2 linked regions of the Astyanax mexicanus genome follow. The protein of the gene in region 1 purifies or fractionates together with the protein of each later gene. This does not show direct contact. Links are inferred from orthologs where the notes say so. Each region holds a gene or a part of one and is shown on either strand. Other genes may lie near its edges. The genes, in order: vps50 and vps51.

Region 1 (9,521 bases):
TAATGTCAAGAGGTTAACCCACAGTGCCTCATAGATACAGTACTGTTCAAACATGCAAATTATCATAATAGTCTTCACAGCTAATTGGCCATGGTCTGACTTTACTCCCACTGCTGCTGCTCCGAATGGCTGAAGCAGCTTAACCTCCTGCTGTGTTCCACCTGTACCTCATAACAAAGCAAGAGAGACTGAATACCACAGAACTCTATACGGTCCCACACAGCTTTTCTCATGTGAGTGGTCCAGAAGCAAAGACAACTAAATAATCTACACATACTGAAGTGTTACTTTGCAGTTTATATTTATGCTTTTTTTTTAACATTACCTTATTTTGTCACGCTATTATTTTTTAATACAATTCTTAGTAAGTTACTTTTTATGAAATAGACAAAAATATTTATAATACATTAAACTTTAATGTTTATTTTGTTGCAATAGTATATTCTTAAAATGAATAATAAAAATATAAAAAATTAAATGTTGGAATATGCCATATCATCCACCCCTAACTCCCACATACAATAGAACAGTGTACTGTGCAGGCACCATTCACCTTGTGTGTCAAAAACCTTCATCACACTTTCCATTGTATAAGGTGAGACTACCCTCTAGCTGCACAAATAACTAATGCCATTTACTACAGCATATATATATATATACTAAAATTATGCGAAAAGAAGTGTACACGTACAGTATATGCATATATTGAGGTGACACACAGCGTAATGGGTAAATTATTCTTTTTGACACTTACTTCCTCAGTCTCTAAAGCAGAGTTCTGAAAAAGCTGAAGTAAAACTGTGGGCAAATCAGGCCAAATGGTCCTAAAAAAGACTTAAAAACATCATAGCATCCTTTGTAACTAAAGGCTGGCATGATTAAAAAAAGCACTTCCACTGGCAAGCAGGACTGAAACTGTCCCATCATATACCACATTGAATAGTTATTTAAGGGCAAAATAGAAACAATAACATAACACTATATACTGGACAGCCATATGGACATTACTAGCTGTTTAAACAGCAATGGCAATATCAGTAGCATTATCTCTATGTAATCAGTACTTTGTAGCCTAATGCAAAGAGCTCAGTTCTAAGGAGATCTGAGGGAACACAGGAAATTATCATATGGAACAAAATACGCTAGTGCAGTTGATTTAATGCTTTCCTCTATCAGCCATATCAGATAAAAGGGGCTAGGCCTCAAGTTGTTTACTCAGTCTAGAGCTACGTGAAAGCAGACTAGAGCAGAAAGCAACTGCTGAGTTTAATCCGTTAACAACATGTTCCTATTTTCTAGATGACAATTCATGTTGCATTATGGTGATGAAGTAAAATGCTACAGTAAAGTGCAACTGTAACTGTTACTATGCACAGTCACACTTCCTAGGTTAAGTAATCTGTATGAAGAAATACTTATCCAACTCACCTTGCTGGGGATCCTGAAGTTCTCTACAGGGCTCATATCTGCCATACTCTCCTGAGGGCTTTTCAAGCCCTGTTAGGGAAAAACACAAAATCACCACCATCAGTTAATCGGTTAGCATTTACATTAAATTATTCATAAACTAATCACTAAAATCCCTAATGCTGAACAACTGCATGTGTACCGATACAGCTACAAATAAACACAATGCTAACCAATGTATACTTACTTATTACTATGCTGTGAGAGGGATAGAGAGAGTAAGAGAATGAGAGGGAATGTGTGAGAGAGAGAGAGAGAGAGAGAGAGAGAGAGAGAGAGAGAGAGAGAGAGAGAATGGATGGGAGTAGGTAGCTAGCATAAAAACTTCTAAAATCCCTAAAGCTGAACAACTGTATATGTCCCCATACAGCTACAATTAAACACAATGCTAACCAATGTAATATTGATGCTGAGAAAAAGACAAAGTGGAGGGAGAGAGCAAGCTAGCATAAAAACATTGACTTTCTTAAACTAACTAACTGAGCAGATCTGAATGTGTACCACTACAGCTACAAATTAACACAATGCTAACTTAGGTAATATATGTTGCTATGCTGTGAGGGTGAAATTGAGAGAACAAGAGAGAGAGAGAAAGCACGAGAGAACAACAGAATATGAACAATTACAGCTACACAATAAACCCAATGCTAATGTAATTTTTAATACTATGCTGTGTGTATAGCAAGCTAGCATGAAAACAGAGTTTCATTTCTAAACTAACCTAAAACCAGAAACCCAAGCTGAACAACTGAATGTGTACCACTACAGCTACACACACAATGATAGCTAATGTAGATAAGGTTTAATACTATGCTGAGAGAGAGCGAACAACTGAATATGAACCAATATAGATACACAATAAACACAATGCTAACCAACGTAATGTTTAATAATATGCTAAAAGAGAGAGAGAGAGAGAGGGGATAGTAAACTTTCATAAAAACATGAAGCCTTTCTATAACTAAACAACTGAGTATGTACCTCTACATATACACAATAAACACAAGGCTAATGAAATGTGTAAAGCTAACATGCTGTGAGAAAGACAGGAGAGGGATAGTAAACAAGCATTAAAACAGAGCCAGAGAGAGAGAGAAGGGGGTAGCAAGCTAGCATAAAAAACGAAGGCTTTCTTAAACTAACCCTAAAACCCAAAACCCCTAAAGCTGAACGACTGAATATGAACCACTACAGCAACAAATAAACACAATGCTAACATCTAATGTAATGTTTAATACTATACTGAGAGAGAGAGAGAGAGAGAGAAAGAGAGAGAAAACAACTAAATATGAACCACTACAGATACAAAAAAAACACAATGCTAACATCTAATGTAATGTTTAATACTATACTGAGAGAGAGAGAGAGAGAGAGAGAGAGAGAGAAAGAGAGAGAAAACAACTAAATATGAACCACTACAGATACAAAAAAACACAATGCTAACATCTAATGTAATGTTTAATACTATACTGAGAGAGAGAAAGAGAGAGAAAACAACTAAATATGAACCTCTACAGATACACAATAAACACAATGCTAATGTAATGTTTAACAGTATGTTGAGAGAGAGAGAGAGAGAAAGAGAAAGAAAGACAGAGAGAGAGAGAGAGAGAGAGAGAGAACAACTGAACATGAACCTCTACAGATACACAATAAACACAATGCTAATGTAATGTTTAATACTATGCTGAGAGAGGGGGAGAGAGAGAGAAAGAGGAAGGGGATAGCAAGATACGATAAAAAACTGCTTTTCTTAAACTAACCGCTAAAACTCAAAACCCAAGCTGAACAACTGAATATGAACGACTACAGCTACACAATGACAACCAATGTAAGTTAACTAATTAGCTAATGCCTAATATTAGGCAGACAGATAATTATTGTTGTTGTTGTTGTTGTTGTTGTTGTTGTTGTTGTTGTTGTTGTTGTTATTATTATTATTATTATTATTATTATTATTATTATTATTCCTCTGCTGGTTAAACGCAGTGGAAGCCCCTGAGTCAGCTCTACTCGCTCCTCTGCTCACTCACACTAAAGCTAAAAGCTTGTAAACAATTCCAGGTTGTTTTTTATTTGTAAAATCAGATAACCGCATGTTTATAAACATGCCCGGCTCTCTGCTCATGCCCGGGTTCAGAGCTGCACCGCTGTGCTCTCCGCCGCTAGCATCATCTGTTTATCACCTGGCTAACTACACTTCCGGTCCTCTCTCATCTCTCTATCCCTCTTTCTCTATATATCTCACAGACTGAGCTGTACCGCTGTAGCGCTGCTCACCTGGCGGGACATCAGAGACTTGATCTTCTGCATCTTACAGCTCAGCACGGGGGTAAATCCAGCTCCGCGGATCCTACTGCACTAATGTTTCACACAGCCTCTCAATACACCTCTCTCTCTCAGACCGCTGCCATGTTTCTCTGTGCTCACGTGACCGGGCAGGGTCAGTGGTGCATTCTGGGTTGTGTAGTTTAGATAGCCCAGAGACAGCGCAGTCAGGTAATGAAGCATAAACATTAGAAATACAAAATTAGAAATGTTGGTTATATCTATAACGTTACTTTACTGGAGTAATAATTCTACATCTACTCCTTACATTTTCACACAGTTATCTGTAGTTTCTAACCCTTACATTTGAACCCATTGTGATGTATGTGCCACATATTATTTAAAACATAGATATATTAACTGTAGAAGTTTATCATTTGCTTGAACACACATGTTCAAATTATTTAACCATTTAAATGCTTTTAAATGTTTTAGGTTCCATAGAACTAGTTCTGACCTGATTTTTTGAACAATAAGAAAAAAACATGAATGTTATGCTTACTGAATTTATCTAATTTAGTTTTGAATTTAGCCTCTATATTCAGAAATTTATTTGGATTCTTATAGGTAAAAAAAAATACCTAGTTACTCCTATTTAAATTTCATTTGTTTTCATTTCAGCCTGTCATCTTTAAAAAAAAATCTTTCCAGATAAATCTCTTCATCTGGATATAATGAGGTTACACTAGCAGACTCATGTAACCTAGGATTAAGGTGTGTGTGAAAGGAGTTCTAGAAGTGCTGAGCTTTTGTTAGCTGCTTTTCCTTCCCAAACTACCTGGGCTGGGTGATTGACAGTGACAATACAAACCAATAATTTGGTCTCTGAAAAAAAATGCTGTTGCTCTTTATCGCCAGCAGATGGCAGCAGTGTAACAATGAATGAACAGTATAAAATGCAGACAGTGAGATATTAGGATTTGTTTGATCTTTATTCAACAAAGTCTTGATTGTAAAGTGGTTGAATAATTGGTCATCAGTGCAAAAAATATACCAAGGAAACTTGCTGGAATCAATATAGATATTTAAAAAATATATTGAGAGATAGATTCCGAACAGTACTATCTTGCTTATTCCTTGCTTATTATAAGCAAGATACTCTAAAAACTGTACTCAAAAACTGTTATGTTATTTAATATAAATTGAATATGGTGATCTGTGTTGACCTGATATTTGGGCAGCAGAGACTTGTTGAATAAAACTCACAACTATCTGATTGGACGCTGGCACTGGGAATGCACACTGGGCATGTTCCTCCTCACTTACCATCAGTGTTTTGTCATTCCTCTGCAGGTTGTCTTTCCTTGGGCATTCCTTGGTTTACAGTCCATGCAGTGAGGTTTTGTGTGAACTGTATTGAACCATCAGCATAAGGTAAAATAGTAAATGATAAAATGTCTATTATTAAAAACTTAAAGCAACTTAAAAAAAAAAAAAAAGGTTACATACTCGAATATTTTGTTGGAGCGCCTTTAGCTTTGATTGTGGCACACATTCACTGTGTCATTGTTTTAATAAGCTTCTGCAATGTCACAAGATTTATTTCAATCCAGTGTTGAATTTATGTTTTTCAAGATCTTGCAGCAGCATTGATGATGGTAGAGTCTGACCACTGCACAAAGCCTCCTCCAGCACATCCCACAGATTCTCAATGAGGTTAAGGTCTGGACTCTGTGGTGAACAATCCATGTGTGAAAATAATGATCTCATGCTCCCTGAATCACTCTTTCACTATTGCAGCCCCATGAATCCTGACATCGTCATCTTGAAATATGCCTGTGTCATCAGGGAAGAAAAAGTTTTTTGGTCAGGCAGTGTATAACATTTTTGTATGAAATTACAGCTGTAAAATCTTGATGTTCCAATGTAGTAAAGACAGTGGGGCAATGTATGGGGCATTTGTGGCTAGGTAGTTAAAGCACCGGGTTACTAATGATAGTTAGGTAGATTTGTGGGTTCAGTACCTGGGAGCAGCCACTCCTGGGCCCTGGAGAAAAGGACCCCAACATTCACTGCTCCCAGAACAATGCAGCAATGCCTGACCACCAGTCGGGGCACATCATATCACTGTGTTCATGTGTGTGTTTATGTTCATTGCAAGGAAAGATTAAAGGTGGCGACCAAATTCCACTATGTCCAATACAAATGGTGTATATGGCTGTATATGTGTAATACGGAGAATAATGTATGTATACCTGGGTTCGGCCTGCCAATAGACTGACATGACTGAGCAGTACTACTGTATGCTACACCAATATAAATCTAATTATCCATTAGCAGAGCATAAGCATGACAAGGATTGGAACAAAATATTGATATATGTATTATATCATTACCATTTTCATGTCACTTGCGATACATTGTCGATGCAATGCATCAAATATTAATATTTGTGTTGAAACATAGGCGCTTTAAACTTCCTAAGACTTAACCCCCAATTTGTTGGTCTAATTGTGCGAAACTGACACTAATAAATCCATAATTCTTTGTATTTGCTTATTTAGTAGTTTTTTATCGTCAAGTAAGACAAATTAACTACAATACTGTCACAGTATCAGTATCATGATATCAGTATCGTGGGGAACATAACGTGAGATGCCCTAATTCTCACCAATAATCATGATTCTTAAGATTTTAAGCTAAAAATGTCACATAATGCTGATTAAACGTTGTAAACGTTTAAGCTGTAATCCTAAAAATTGTCCAGATTTTTTAAACCATGTAAATTCTCGTTACTCAACAGGTCTTACAACATAAACACTGCATTCTCTTCACGATGCTTCAACACCTACTGTTCCAAGAACTGTTTAACTCAAAACACATTAGTGGAAGCAGCAGCATGCTGGTGGGTTTATTTGGAAATAATTCTTTTACTAAATAAAATACTGGGTGAGGTAAACACTACAGAGGCAGTAGTGGTACCAGTTCCTGGTTAATAAAAGTCAGTGACATTAGTCCTGATTTCCCTGTCAAATGAGGGAGCGGCAGAGCTTCCAGACAGAGGAGGTGTAATTCCTCTGCTCCTCCTGCAAAACACACACTGAACAGATGGTCTTCCACCATAAAAACCTGTGCACATAAACAGCATCGTTCAGCTAGTATCAGTGTTACGACTCAGGTCCAGCAAACTAGTGATGTACTGATGTGCCCTCAGGGTTCTGATCAGTTTGCTAGATCAGCTAACAATAACTGAAAGGAGATACGCTTCATAATAGGAGTTGTCTGATAATAACTTGCCCCAAGAACAAAAGCAGATACAATTATTGTTCAAATGAATAATTATGCAAGTTTTTATTAAAATGCCCTGGTGCTCGGTTTGCCAGTAAAGCCTCAGGGCTAACAGTCTCTACTGTGCCCACTCTTTAAAGTGCAAAGTCTCTGGTAATTAAAGATGAACAAAAGCAGTTATTGCCTATTTGTGACTATGTAATGTGTTATGTGACTTTGGTTGAGGTGAAAAAAAGCTCAGATGACAATCCTATTTACAATCCTGTGGCAGAAACATGTATTATTTCATTTACTAAGAGTTTGTAAATAGAAAAAACATAAATTTTGTGCTCAGATTGTATTCAGTGCTTTTCACCTCCATCAAAACTTGCTAAACCCACATATCATCACAACTTTAAAGGAGAAATCCAGTGTGAAATAAACTTGTGGTCAATGATATGCCCCTAACGCTAGCATTGTAAGCCTGTTGGAGGCATCAACTAAAAGAGCTGTATTTTGGAATGCTGGAGGTGAGCTATTCAACCAAAGTTAGTATTTATTATCCTGTTTCAACAGACCACAAGTGTATTTCACACCAGAGATTTTATTTAAGGATTTAGGACCCTCTCTAGTGAAAATGGGTAATTGCACCGAGCATGCGGAAGAATCATTTTAAACTGGACAGGTGTGATTTCAGAGCAGATGAATCCAATTCCATGTTATGTTCATTTAGAGAGAGAGTGAGCCTGCTCAGAAACTTCACTTCTTCGTTTGTTTGGTTTTATTATGGTTGAATGAGCTACTGAGCTCTGAGTTTCCCCTTCTGAAGTCTCCATTGCTCCACCAGCCGCTTGAGTTCAGTAAAACGGAGCCGGATCCTCTTTTATAGGCTGTACGTGTGGTATAAGTACGTAAAAACACCAGTTTTTACAATGAATATATTAGGCTTAGCAGGGAAGGTTGTTTCAGCACACTGATACCACTAAACACAAAATGTTGTCCCTTCTCCACTCAGAAATGCTTAGGCTTTCAGTTTAGAAACAAAATAATACAGACTGCCCTATTAAACTTGTAATAACAATGATATTCCCAATTTAATCTTTGTTTAACCAAACAGTGTTGTTGTCCTCATATTGTCTCAGTACAAGACAAGCTTTCAGCTTACATTTTGTTGCCTGGCTACAACTGCTTTAGCCTAGCTTACTTTAACAGGTTTTTTGGCTTCCTCAAGCTCTACTAATAAAAAAGTAATCCAGTACTTTGGATTTATTTAATGTTTAGCTCTATCTTGGATGAGGTAATGTAGTTTTTACTGAGGGAGTTTTTTCTTGTCATTATTGCTCTAGTGCTTACTCAACAGAACAGACCCAGATCTCACAACTTCTGTTGTAAAACGTGTTATACAAATAAATTTAAATGAAATTGAATAGTCCAGATTGGTTAAAGCTAGCTCTTAGCCTAGGTCAGCTCCCTGTTTACTCTCTCCAGGATTTGCTTTATCACGTGATGCCTCTCTTTCCGCAGACACTGGCACAGGAAAAGCAGCAGACACAGAGCCTTGTTCATGCAGTAACCTGTGTCATGCAGTAGTGAGCTGCTCAATGTTATTAAATCACACCATATTTTTCATATAACTTTCATCAATTACATGTTACTGTTCAACTTTGATTGAACAGCTTTGGTTCTGGTTCTGCTGGGTTTTCTTTAGAAGTTGTAACAACAGAATTTGGTGTTTATGGGTTGTTGGTTTTATGTATTTAAATCATTATTCAACTGTACTGAGGAACATGCAGCTTAACATTCTGAAGAACCTAGAAATGTTTGATTGGTCATTTGAGCTTGTCTGAAAACAAAGTTAGTCTTGTGAATCTGAATCAACTACATTCATTTATACTGGGGTCTCTTTTAGGTGAACTGAAATTTTGATAATATTCAAAAATCCGCACATTGCAAAAAAAAAAAAAAAAAGATTACCAAAGATAAAACAACCCTGCAACAAATGGAATCACTTAATCAGGAGAAGTTTGTGTCGTGACTCAAGTGAAGAGTGAGCCCAGCTGGAGTCCAGTCCTGAGTTCTAAGCCTTCTGTCACTTGCCTCGGATACATTGTGGACACGACACTTTCATTCATATTCATGTGCAATTGCTTAAAATCTTTATTTTCAAAATGGAGAGCATTTTTATTTATTAACTGTAAAATAGGAGCAAGGAAATCTTACAATCTAACAGCAGAAACTGATCTGTGCAGAAACTGCTTCAAGGCAACATAAAGAACAATATCTCATTTCTATGACACAGATTACCGCAGTACACAATGTCATTGCTATGTGCAAAAATAGATTATTAGAATAAAAAAAATGCATATTATTTACATTCATATTTCAAGCAAAGCAATGGAATTAGGGCTTGGCTGCACTTGGTATAACAGTACGAACACATAAATACTCTCTGGTTTCAGTGTGGCCGATAGCAAACATGTACAGTATACAAACACAGAACTCACATCATTCCCACAATG
Region 2 (9,591 bases), on another chromosome or scaffold:
ATCATGTCTGCGCGAGACTGATTTTTAAACCCACTCTTCCACGCTCCCGCGTTTCTGTCTCGTTACCGCGCCGCAAAAAAATTGCTTCTTTTAATCCCGCGCCCGCCCGCCACATACACATTTCTGCCGCTCCCGCCCCACGTTCCTAATATAAATTAAATAAACTACATTTAATGCTTCAAATTTACTTATATATTTATTAAAACAGCAGCGCTGAATAGTGTGGTCCCGTTCCTTACCCCAGTCCAAACACCATCGGTGTGTGCGTGTGTGTGTCGGTCCATCCTGCGCGTTGAGAGTTTTCTTTAGGTTTTTTTTTTTTTTACAATTATTACAGTTTTCTTAACTATTTATTAATTTGCTCCCGCATCGTCTGGATTAAACTCCCGCTCCAGCCAATAACAGTTCAGTTCTGTCCCGCGCGCAAGATATTCTGACGGGACCCGAGAGAACAGAAGTGGTTAGAGTGAGGTGGAACTCTGGAAAGGAGAAAAAAAACGAATATCCGAATACCAAAATTAAAAACCGAATACCTACTCAACGAACGAATATCCGAATACCCGAATATTCGGGTCCAGCCCTACTATTTAGTGTGGTAGCATGGGCTTTAGGACACAACCTCAATTTTCTGTGATTGTGGAAATCTTTAAGATGCATCAATGCACAATAACCATTCAACATCCTCATTACAAACACAAATACAAAATAAAAATATAAGTAGTAGTTAGTAGCAGTTGTATAAAGTTACGTACAGTGCCTTGCAAACGTTTTTCGGCCCCCTTGAACTTTTCAACCTTTTGCCACATTTCAGGCTTCAAACATAAATATATGAAATTGTATTGTAACAAGTGTGACACAATCTTGAAGTGGAACAACATTTATTGGATATTTTAAACTTTTTTTAGAAATAAAAAACTGAAAGGTGGGGCGTGCAATATTATTTAGCCCCTTTACTTTTAGTGCATCAAACTCACTCCAGACGTTCGGTGAGGATCTCTGAATGATCCAATGTTGACCTAAATGAGTGATGATGATAAATAGAATCCACCTGTGTGTAATCAAGTCTCTGTATAAATGCACCTGCTCTGTGATAGTCTCAGAGCTCTGTTTAAAGCACAGAGAGAATCATGAAGACCAAAAAACAGTAGGCAGGTCCGAGATACTGTTGTGGAAAAGTTTAAAGCCGGATTTTGATTAAAAAAAGATTTTCCAAGTGTTAAACATCTCAATAAGCACTGTGCAAGCGATCATATTGAAATTGAAGGAGTATCAGACCACTGCAAATCTACCAAGACCCAGCCGTCCCTCTAAACTTTCAGCTCAAACAAGGAGAAGAGCAGAGATGCAGCCACGAGGCCCATGATCACTCTGGATGAACTGCAGAGATCTACAGCTAAGGAGGAAGAATCTGTTGACAGGACAACAATAAGTTGTGCACTCCACAAATATGGCCTTTGTGAAGCAGTGGCAATAAGGAAGCCACTGCTGAAAGAAAGACATAAGAAGTGCTGTTTGTACAGCAAACATGTGGTAGAAGGTGCTGTGATCAAACAATTCAAAGTTGAACTTTTTGGCCTAAATACAAAGTGTGGCTGAAAAGTAACACTGCTCACCCTGAACACACCATCCCCAAAGTGAAACATGGTGGTGGCAGCATCCTGGATTGGTCCTGCTTTCCTTCAGCAGGGACAGGGAAGATGGTTAAAATTGATGGATGGAGCTAAATACAGGAGCATTCTAAAAGAAAACCTGCTGGAGTCTGCAAACGTCTGGAGTCTGGGTCAGAGATTTATCTTCGAACAAGACAATGATCCAAAACATAAAGCAAAATTGACAATCTACAGCTGTAATCGCAGCAAAAGATGGCACTATAAAGTATTAATGCAAGAGGGCTGAATAATATTGCACGCCCCACTTTTCTGTTTTTATTTCTGAAAAAAGTTTCAAATATTCAGTAAGTTGGATAAATAAGTCTTAGAATGCTGATGTTAATAATGTGATGAATGAGACAATTCAGTCTGAACTTTTCGGACTCTCTATTTTTTCAGTGGCGGTGTAGAAAACTGTACACACCACAATCTGGTTTTATCTCTGTAATTTTTCTTTAATTTCTCTTTTAAGCGCTATAATGCTTTATCTGCTTTCTTATGGGTATTTTTATACATTCTGAACATGCAGTTGTGTGTAAATACGGTGGTACAGAATGCAGTAAAATATAGTCTCTTCTGGTACTGATTTTGAAAAAGCTGTAAGATGTTAAGTTATGATTGTTCTCTAAAAATAAGCCATTAGATATCGAGTTATTAAAAGGCAGGTAAATAACAGGTCAATATAAAAATGTAAACTGACATAACAGAGATAATGTTCAATCTCCATCACAGTTACACAGTATTTGTTGCCCCATCAAACCTGAATTTCTGCCGTAGTTGGTGTGCAAGTCGCTCCATGATGGCGTGGCAGTCATCCTGGATGCCCCTGAAAGAGGGCATGTGGCTGTACTGTTGAAGCACACAGCGTGCCCGCCGGTGAGAGCTCACCGCCTGAGCATACGCCTGCAGCTCCAAACACTTATTCAGCCTCGCCGGCAGTTCAAACAGAAACTGCAGCTTCCGCAGGAGAGTGTGAACACCTGCGCTGAGACAGAGGGAAAATGGGAGACGAGAGAAGACAAATAAGAATAAGAACAACAGTTCATCTAGAGAAACAGGTGTCAATATCTGATGGACAGGTGGGTCTATGAAGGAATGTCTTCCGTGCCTGACAGTTTTGTGATCTGGGTGTGCTGGTCCTGCAGCGTTCCACTGATCCTCGCACTGAACTCAGTTATGGCAGACATATTGGTAGACAGGCAGTCCATCTCATCCTCCATTTTTTTAAAGTCATTCTTCATCTTCCTGATTGTGTCTGAGGACAGTAAATATTGTTATAATATTGTTTACATTTAAAATAGAGCAGTAGACAAGCTTTCAGACTGAAACTTAATGTCAGGTAAATAAAACTATGCTCAATTTACTAACCTGTTGCAGAAATGAATTTATTGTAGTTTTCATAAACAAGTGTCTGCATGTCGCTGTCGAGGGATCTTATCTGTTTTACCATACAGCTCTCCTGATCCATCAGCTCTGCCAGAGAACACTCTTTCCTCAGCTAGACAACATGCACACTTATTCATTATTTGTTAAAAAGCCAACAAAATTATTACACATAGATAAATAAAATGTATTTTTTAGACTATAATTGCTGCGGTGATTATGTTTTTTGCTGGTAATAGTGAGGTAAAAACGTATGTTTAAGTAACTACTGGAGTAAATATGTGAATTTAATAAAATTCCTACAGTAAAATTGTAATTACTGAAATGGTATACCGGTACTTATTTCAAATACGGGGGTTAATTTGTGAATGGACTGTAGTAGCTGCTGTAAATATGACTGATTATTATATATGGAAGTCGGTGTGTTAGCTGTACCTTATTGAGGTAAATCTCTGGGTCAAAGTGAGCCCCATTGATGTCGCAGGGCTCCGGCTCCTGCTGCTGCGGCGGCGGCTCCGGGCCTGAACTGTAGTACAGTCGGAGGAGCCGCCGCTTCCGGCCCGGAGAGGAGCTGCCCGAGTCGACCTCCATCCCACGATAAACACACACTAATAAACCCAAAACCGGAGCAAAAATAACGCAATGAACTCTCCAGTTTTCGGAACACCTACCGCAGTAATGCGGGGTTACCGGATTCCCAGCAGAACGTCACAGAATCTAGCAGCGGGGAAATGGCGATCCTTAACTGTCAAAATAAAAGTCCACAAGAAAAAAAAACTTAGTACAAAATACAAATTAGTTTTGTATTACAAAGTTGTGAGAGAAGAATCTTAGATAGAGAGGAGAATCTCTAATAGAGAGAAGAATCTTAAATAAAGAAAATAATCTCTAATAGAGAGCATATTCTCTAATAGAGAGAAGAATTTTAGATAGAGAGGATATCTCTAATAGAGAGAACATTCTTAAAGAGGAGAATCTCTAATAAAAAGGAAAATACTCACTTTTCACCATATTTCCCTAAAACAACATGCAGTGTTATGTTTTAATGTTATGTAAAAATATTATGTTTTATATGTTGGTCTTTAAAAACATTAACATAAAAAAAAGTTTGTATTTGTTTTTGTTTTTTGTGAAAAACGAATGAATTATCCGAATCGAACCAACCTGTTAGAGGTAAGAAACACCATTTCACTAAATATTGATAGAATAATTAGTAATGGAGTTAGTAATTAAATATTTACACGGCTTGTTTTTTTTTGTTTCATGAATAAACATAAATAAATAAATACTGAAATCTGAACATGCGATTGAATTATGAACTGCAAACTATGGAAAACTGCAAATCATGCAAAAGAAAAATTAATCAAATTTAGTACCTAAACAGCACTATCATGCAAAACTAAGAAAAAACAGCAGAAGCAGTTTGGTCTGTGGGAGGGAGGAACCCGGAGTACCCGGAGGAAACCCACATGCACATGCAGCCCTCACACATGACGGCCCACATAACTTCAGCAAAAAATGGGACAGCTGATTCCTTTCAGATATTATTTTGACTGCTAATAAACTGAGCCAATCACAACACTCGCTTTCAGCTCTAATACTGAATGTCCAGTCATACACAGCTGCTGCAAACAGTCAGCAAATATACGGTCACCCTTAATTTGTATTAATTGGATATTTAAACTCCTGCTCATTGCAAAAAAAAAAAAACACTGGATTTCTAAAATGTTATTACATATTTGCCAATTAGATAAAAGTGGGTGCCTTGTGTGTTATTTAATGTTATATTTATCTTTTTTTTCATAATAAGTAAATATATTTTTCTATAATCACGTTTTATAACGTTATATGATTTCTACATATACACAATTCAAATATATATCAGTAAATAAATAATTATTTCATGAAATAAGTGTGCTCTGTGGGCGTGTCCACAGCTATGTCACTCCAAATTCCTTAAAAGACTTCCTGGTTAGGATACTCTGGTGTACCCTCAGCTACAGGGGTGTAGCAGCAAATTCTGGGCCCTGCACACTCTCAATGTCAGAGGGCATTGACAATAGCTTTTAAGCACAGTACTGCACTGCACTGCCAGAAAAATATAATTACCAGAAGAAGAAAAAAACGCTTTATTGGTTAATATATTACTTGTGTGCACTTGAGCCTACAGTGACATTGTAGGCTATTTTAAGGTTAATATATTCTGCAAATTAAATTTATATTTACAGCCACGTGAGCATAGAAACATAAGCAAACATAAGACTGACTTATACATGTGAAAAGTGTCCGACATTGTGCCAAAATACAACATGAACGTTCACACATTACTCTTTTTTTGTGTTCTTGCGCCCTCTAGTGTCGCTAATGTGGTATATATAATAACATTCATGAGTTAAAAGAGGTAAATAATCTAAAAATACACGGTGTGGGTAAAAATGGTTAAAAAGAGTTAAATATACAAAGACAGTGTGGGTTAAAAAAGATTAAATTAGGTTAATTATGTTAATGTTGTTTCCTTGTTTAGTTTATTCATGTTAACTTTAGTAAAAAGGCTAAAAAGTCATGCATTGCACAGGAAGAATAGAAGACTCAAATGAGTTTATACAGCAGAGATTAATTTAGATAAAAGTTATTTGAGTGAAAAATGGTGATTTTATTCTTATCAGAGTCCTAAAAGGATTTAGCTACTATGAAAAAGATGGTTTGTGTATAAGTGGACAATAGGGGGAGCTCTTGTCAGTCCTTTCAGTGGGGAAGTTATTTCTAAGAGGAACTTAAGGGGGCGCTCTGATGTGTTTTCTCATTCTCTGCAATACAGCACAAGAGAAAACATCACAGTCTAGTCTCTCTTTATTCCTTCCCATTGTCAGGTAAATATGTATAAAAAAAGGTAGATTCACCCATGAACATAAAAGTGCTCTGTTTAGAGAACATGTTGTTTTGTTTTTCTGAAAGTTTTGAGTGAGATAAATATGCTAAAAACACTACTGTGTGTAGCAGACTGAGCATGTGGTTAGCAGTAGCTTATTGTTCTTAGGCCTGCTTAATTGTTTATACAATAGCATGGGGTGCATGTTTAAGCAGGGATTTATGAGAACAAATATTGCTACAGGGATTGAATATTGGCCTGTTCCAGTAATTATATGCATAAATATGTTTTTTATTTTATCTATATTCTATCTCTCTGTAAACAATGTTCAACAATGTTGTATACTGTGCAAGGAAGTTTAGTTAATGTTTCTCTGTAGTATAAAGCAATTGTTAATGCTGAAAGATACCTACTGAAAGACAATTTTGCTTTTGAGTTGTTTTGTACTTTATGAAAAAGATTCTCTACAATACAGCACAAGAGGAAACATCACAATCTAGTCTCTCTTTATTCCTTCCCATTGTCAGGGGTACAACACTAAGAGAACATAACAGTATTTACAAGTCATGTAACCTGAGGACATATTTTTTTTCATACATTTTAACACCCCCACTGTACTCAGGTTGGTAACAACAAAACAAAAATTCAACGAATGTGTACCCTTGGCTTACACATATTAAACACCAAAAGGAAAACCTGCAAAATTTCTCAGTTTAAACTTGCTTACAGGTTTCGTCATCACATCAGCGACCATTTTATCAGTAACACAATACATTAAATTTTACTTCACCCTCATTCACAGTAGACCTAATAAAGAGATACTTAATGTCTGTGTTTTCAACGCTTTCTGTTTACAGGGTTTCTGGCAAGAGCAATTGTTCCCTGATTGTCTTCATGTATTACCGTTTGAGTGTATTTTTAACTATCCATATTCCCCAGTAATTTTTCTAGGTAAAGACACTCTTGAACAGTAGAAGCAAGTGCCATATACTGTGCTTCGCATATGGAAAGTGCAACAGAAGGTACTGCGGCGATCACTAGTATCAGCCGCCCAGTCTGCATCACTGTAGGCTTGTATACCAAGATTCTCAGTGTTGTTTCTCCTAAAGGTTAAACCTTTGTCTGCTGTACCTTTAACGTATCACAGGACATGCTTCACAGTTACCCATTGCTTCTCTGTAGGCTCAGCTAGGTATTGTGACGGCCTTCTCACCACAAAACTCAGATCAGCCCTAGTGCAGGTTGTTAGGTATATCAGACTGCCCACGGCCTCTCTCTACATCCTGATGTCTGTCATTTAACTGCATCACCACTGTATTCGAGCTTTTACTCACAATGGGTTTCTCTCACCCTACACTCTGACATGTTGAAACGCTGTAGAATTTTGTTGATGTACTTCTCTTGTGACATCAATATCAAGAAAATGTTTGAGTTTACCCAAATCCTTCATCTTGAATTGCTCTGCAAGCATCCCTTTCACATTTTTCAGTTTCTCTTCATCGCTTGCAGCGATAATTAAGTCATCAACCCATACAATTATCATCACTTTCCCTTCTTTTGACTCTTGGGAATATACACAGTGGTCAGATTGGTTATGTGTGAATCCACATTCCAATTAAAGCACCTGGCAAAAATGAAGGGGATTATGTAAACAGCAAATACTTCCACAGCATTAATATACAAGTATTGTATAAGGACTAATACTTAATACATTACAAAAACATATTTTCTCCACTATTAAGATTATATGTGATGCTACCAACATTACTAATGCTGAAGCCAAATAGCCATGCTCTGTACATGATGCAAAGATTTTTCGAGAGTCTGCACTATACCGTAAATTTGATCAGGCCTATGTTTTTGATTTATTTATTTCCTAAAGAAAAAAAAAAGCCAACAAGTGAATTTTCTTGTCCTTATTCTTGGTAAAAACAGATATATACACTCACAGCAACTACTCTCACATTTCCAGTCTTGTCTGTTTTATTTGCCATTTTATGTGTTCCTTTTGTAGATCACACTTCTCAATTTGTTTTTTTAGGTGAACCTAGTATAAATCTTTAACAGCCATCTTGAACGAAAGAGACAAAAATACCATGTTATGCTCAAATAAATAGCTTTGTGTTCAGAATAGTTTTGATATTTGTTGACATAAGCATTCTCACTGTTCCAAGCTGAGCTTTGGAGGTGGATAGTTTACAGCCCAACAATTTACAGATAAGCTTCCAGACTTATCAACTCTAATATATTCTCCTATAGACCCAGTAGAACTAGACAAACTAACCAAAGGTTTAGAAAATACCTTTCGCTCTACCTTAGATGTTGTAGCACCCCTTAAACACAAAATAGAGAGACAGAAAAAGCTCGCACCGTGGTACAATGATCAAACTCGTACCTTAAAGCAGTTAGTACGAAATTTAGAGCGTAAATATTGTTCAACTAAACTGGAAGTGTTTCACTCTGCGTGGAAAGACAGTCTTGTTAAATATAGAAAAGAACTTTATAAAGCCCACTCAGCATATCTGGCCTCACAGATCGAGATAAATAAAAATAATCCTAGAGTTCTCTTTAGTGTTATTTCCAAATTAACTAAAAGCCAGGCAGGTACTGAACCTCAGATTCCAGCCATTCACACCAGCAACGATTTTATGGACTTCTTCAATAGTAAAATTTAAAACATTCGGGATAAAATTAAACAGATAAATATTACATCCTCTCTGTCATCTGGTCTGGCTGATCTAGAACAAAACCCTGTCACCGAAGTTAGGTTGCAAGTCTTTAACCCACTTCCACAGCTAGAACTAGAGAAAATTATCTCCTCTTCAAACAGCACAACCTGCACACTTGATGCTGTTCCCACAAAATTACTAAAACAGGTACTACCAGATATAATTAAACCTCTGTTAATGATAGTAAACTCATCGCTCACCCTGGGCCATGTACCCAAAGCCTTTAAAACAGCTGTAATTAAACCTCTGATCAAGAAACCTACTTTACTGTCTAACTATAGACCTATTTCAAACTTACCCTTTATTTCTAAGATTTTAGAAAAAGCTGTAGCCCAACAACTTTGCTCTTACCTGCAAAGAAACCAAATCTATGAAAAATATCAATCTGGATTTATGCCTTATCATAGCACTGAGACAGCTTTAGTTAGAATAACAAACGATCTACTTATAGCCGCCGACCAAGGCTGTGTTTCCCTACTCGTACTTCTCGATCTGAGCGCAGCCTTTGATACAATAGATCATACTATCCTTTTAGAAAGACTAGAGAACATGGTTGGTGTAACTGGAACTGCCTTAGCATGGTTTAAATCGTACTTAACCGATCGCTATCAGTTTGTGAGGATAAATGATATGTCTTCCAGTTATACCAAGGTAAGATATGGAATTCCACAAGGCTCTATATTAGGACCGTTATTATTTACATTATATATGCTCCCACTGGGCAAAGTTATTAGAAAACATGATGTGAATTTTCATTGTTATGCGGATGACACGCAGCTCTTCATATCAGCCAAACCTGATGACAGAGTGAGATTAAAGAAAATCGAGGATTGTGTAGAAGATGTAAAATCATGGATGTCGCACAACTTCCTCCTATTAAATAGTGATAAAACAGAAGTTCTCCTATTAGGCCCCAAAGCTGCTAGAAATAAATTATCAGACTTAATGCTAAATCTGGCCG

Evidence for each region.
Region 2: the proteins of vps50 (region 1) and vps51 purify together in Homo sapiens (affinity purification with mass spectrometry; 7 studies listed by BioGRID and IntAct, counting the BioPlex papers as one, with this or other methods). This does not show direct contact. The link is inferred for Astyanax mexicanus from reciprocal best matches to the Homo sapiens genes VPS50 and VPS51.

The regions. Positions count from the first base shown.
Region 1 is NC_064410.1:48,235,311-48,244,831, reverse strand, and holds the start of vps50 (syndetin), read right to left. Parts: upstream 3,905-9,521; 5' UTR 3,781-3,904; coding exon 3,748-3,780; intron 1,498-3,747; coding exon 1,429-1,497; intron 1-1,428.
Region 2 is NC_064427.1:12,762,727-12,772,317, reverse strand, and holds the start of vps51 (vacuolar protein sorting-associated protein 51 homolog), read right to left. Parts: upstream 3,776-9,591; 5' UTR 3,624-3,775; coding exon 3,468-3,623; intron 3,148-3,467; coding exon 3,018-3,147; intron 2,905-3,017; coding exon 2,758-2,904; intron 2,630-2,757; coding exon 2,410-2,629; intron 1-2,409. UniProt on the Homo sapiens protein: Acts as a component of the GARP complex that is involved in retrograde transport from early and late endosomes to the trans-Golgi network (TGN).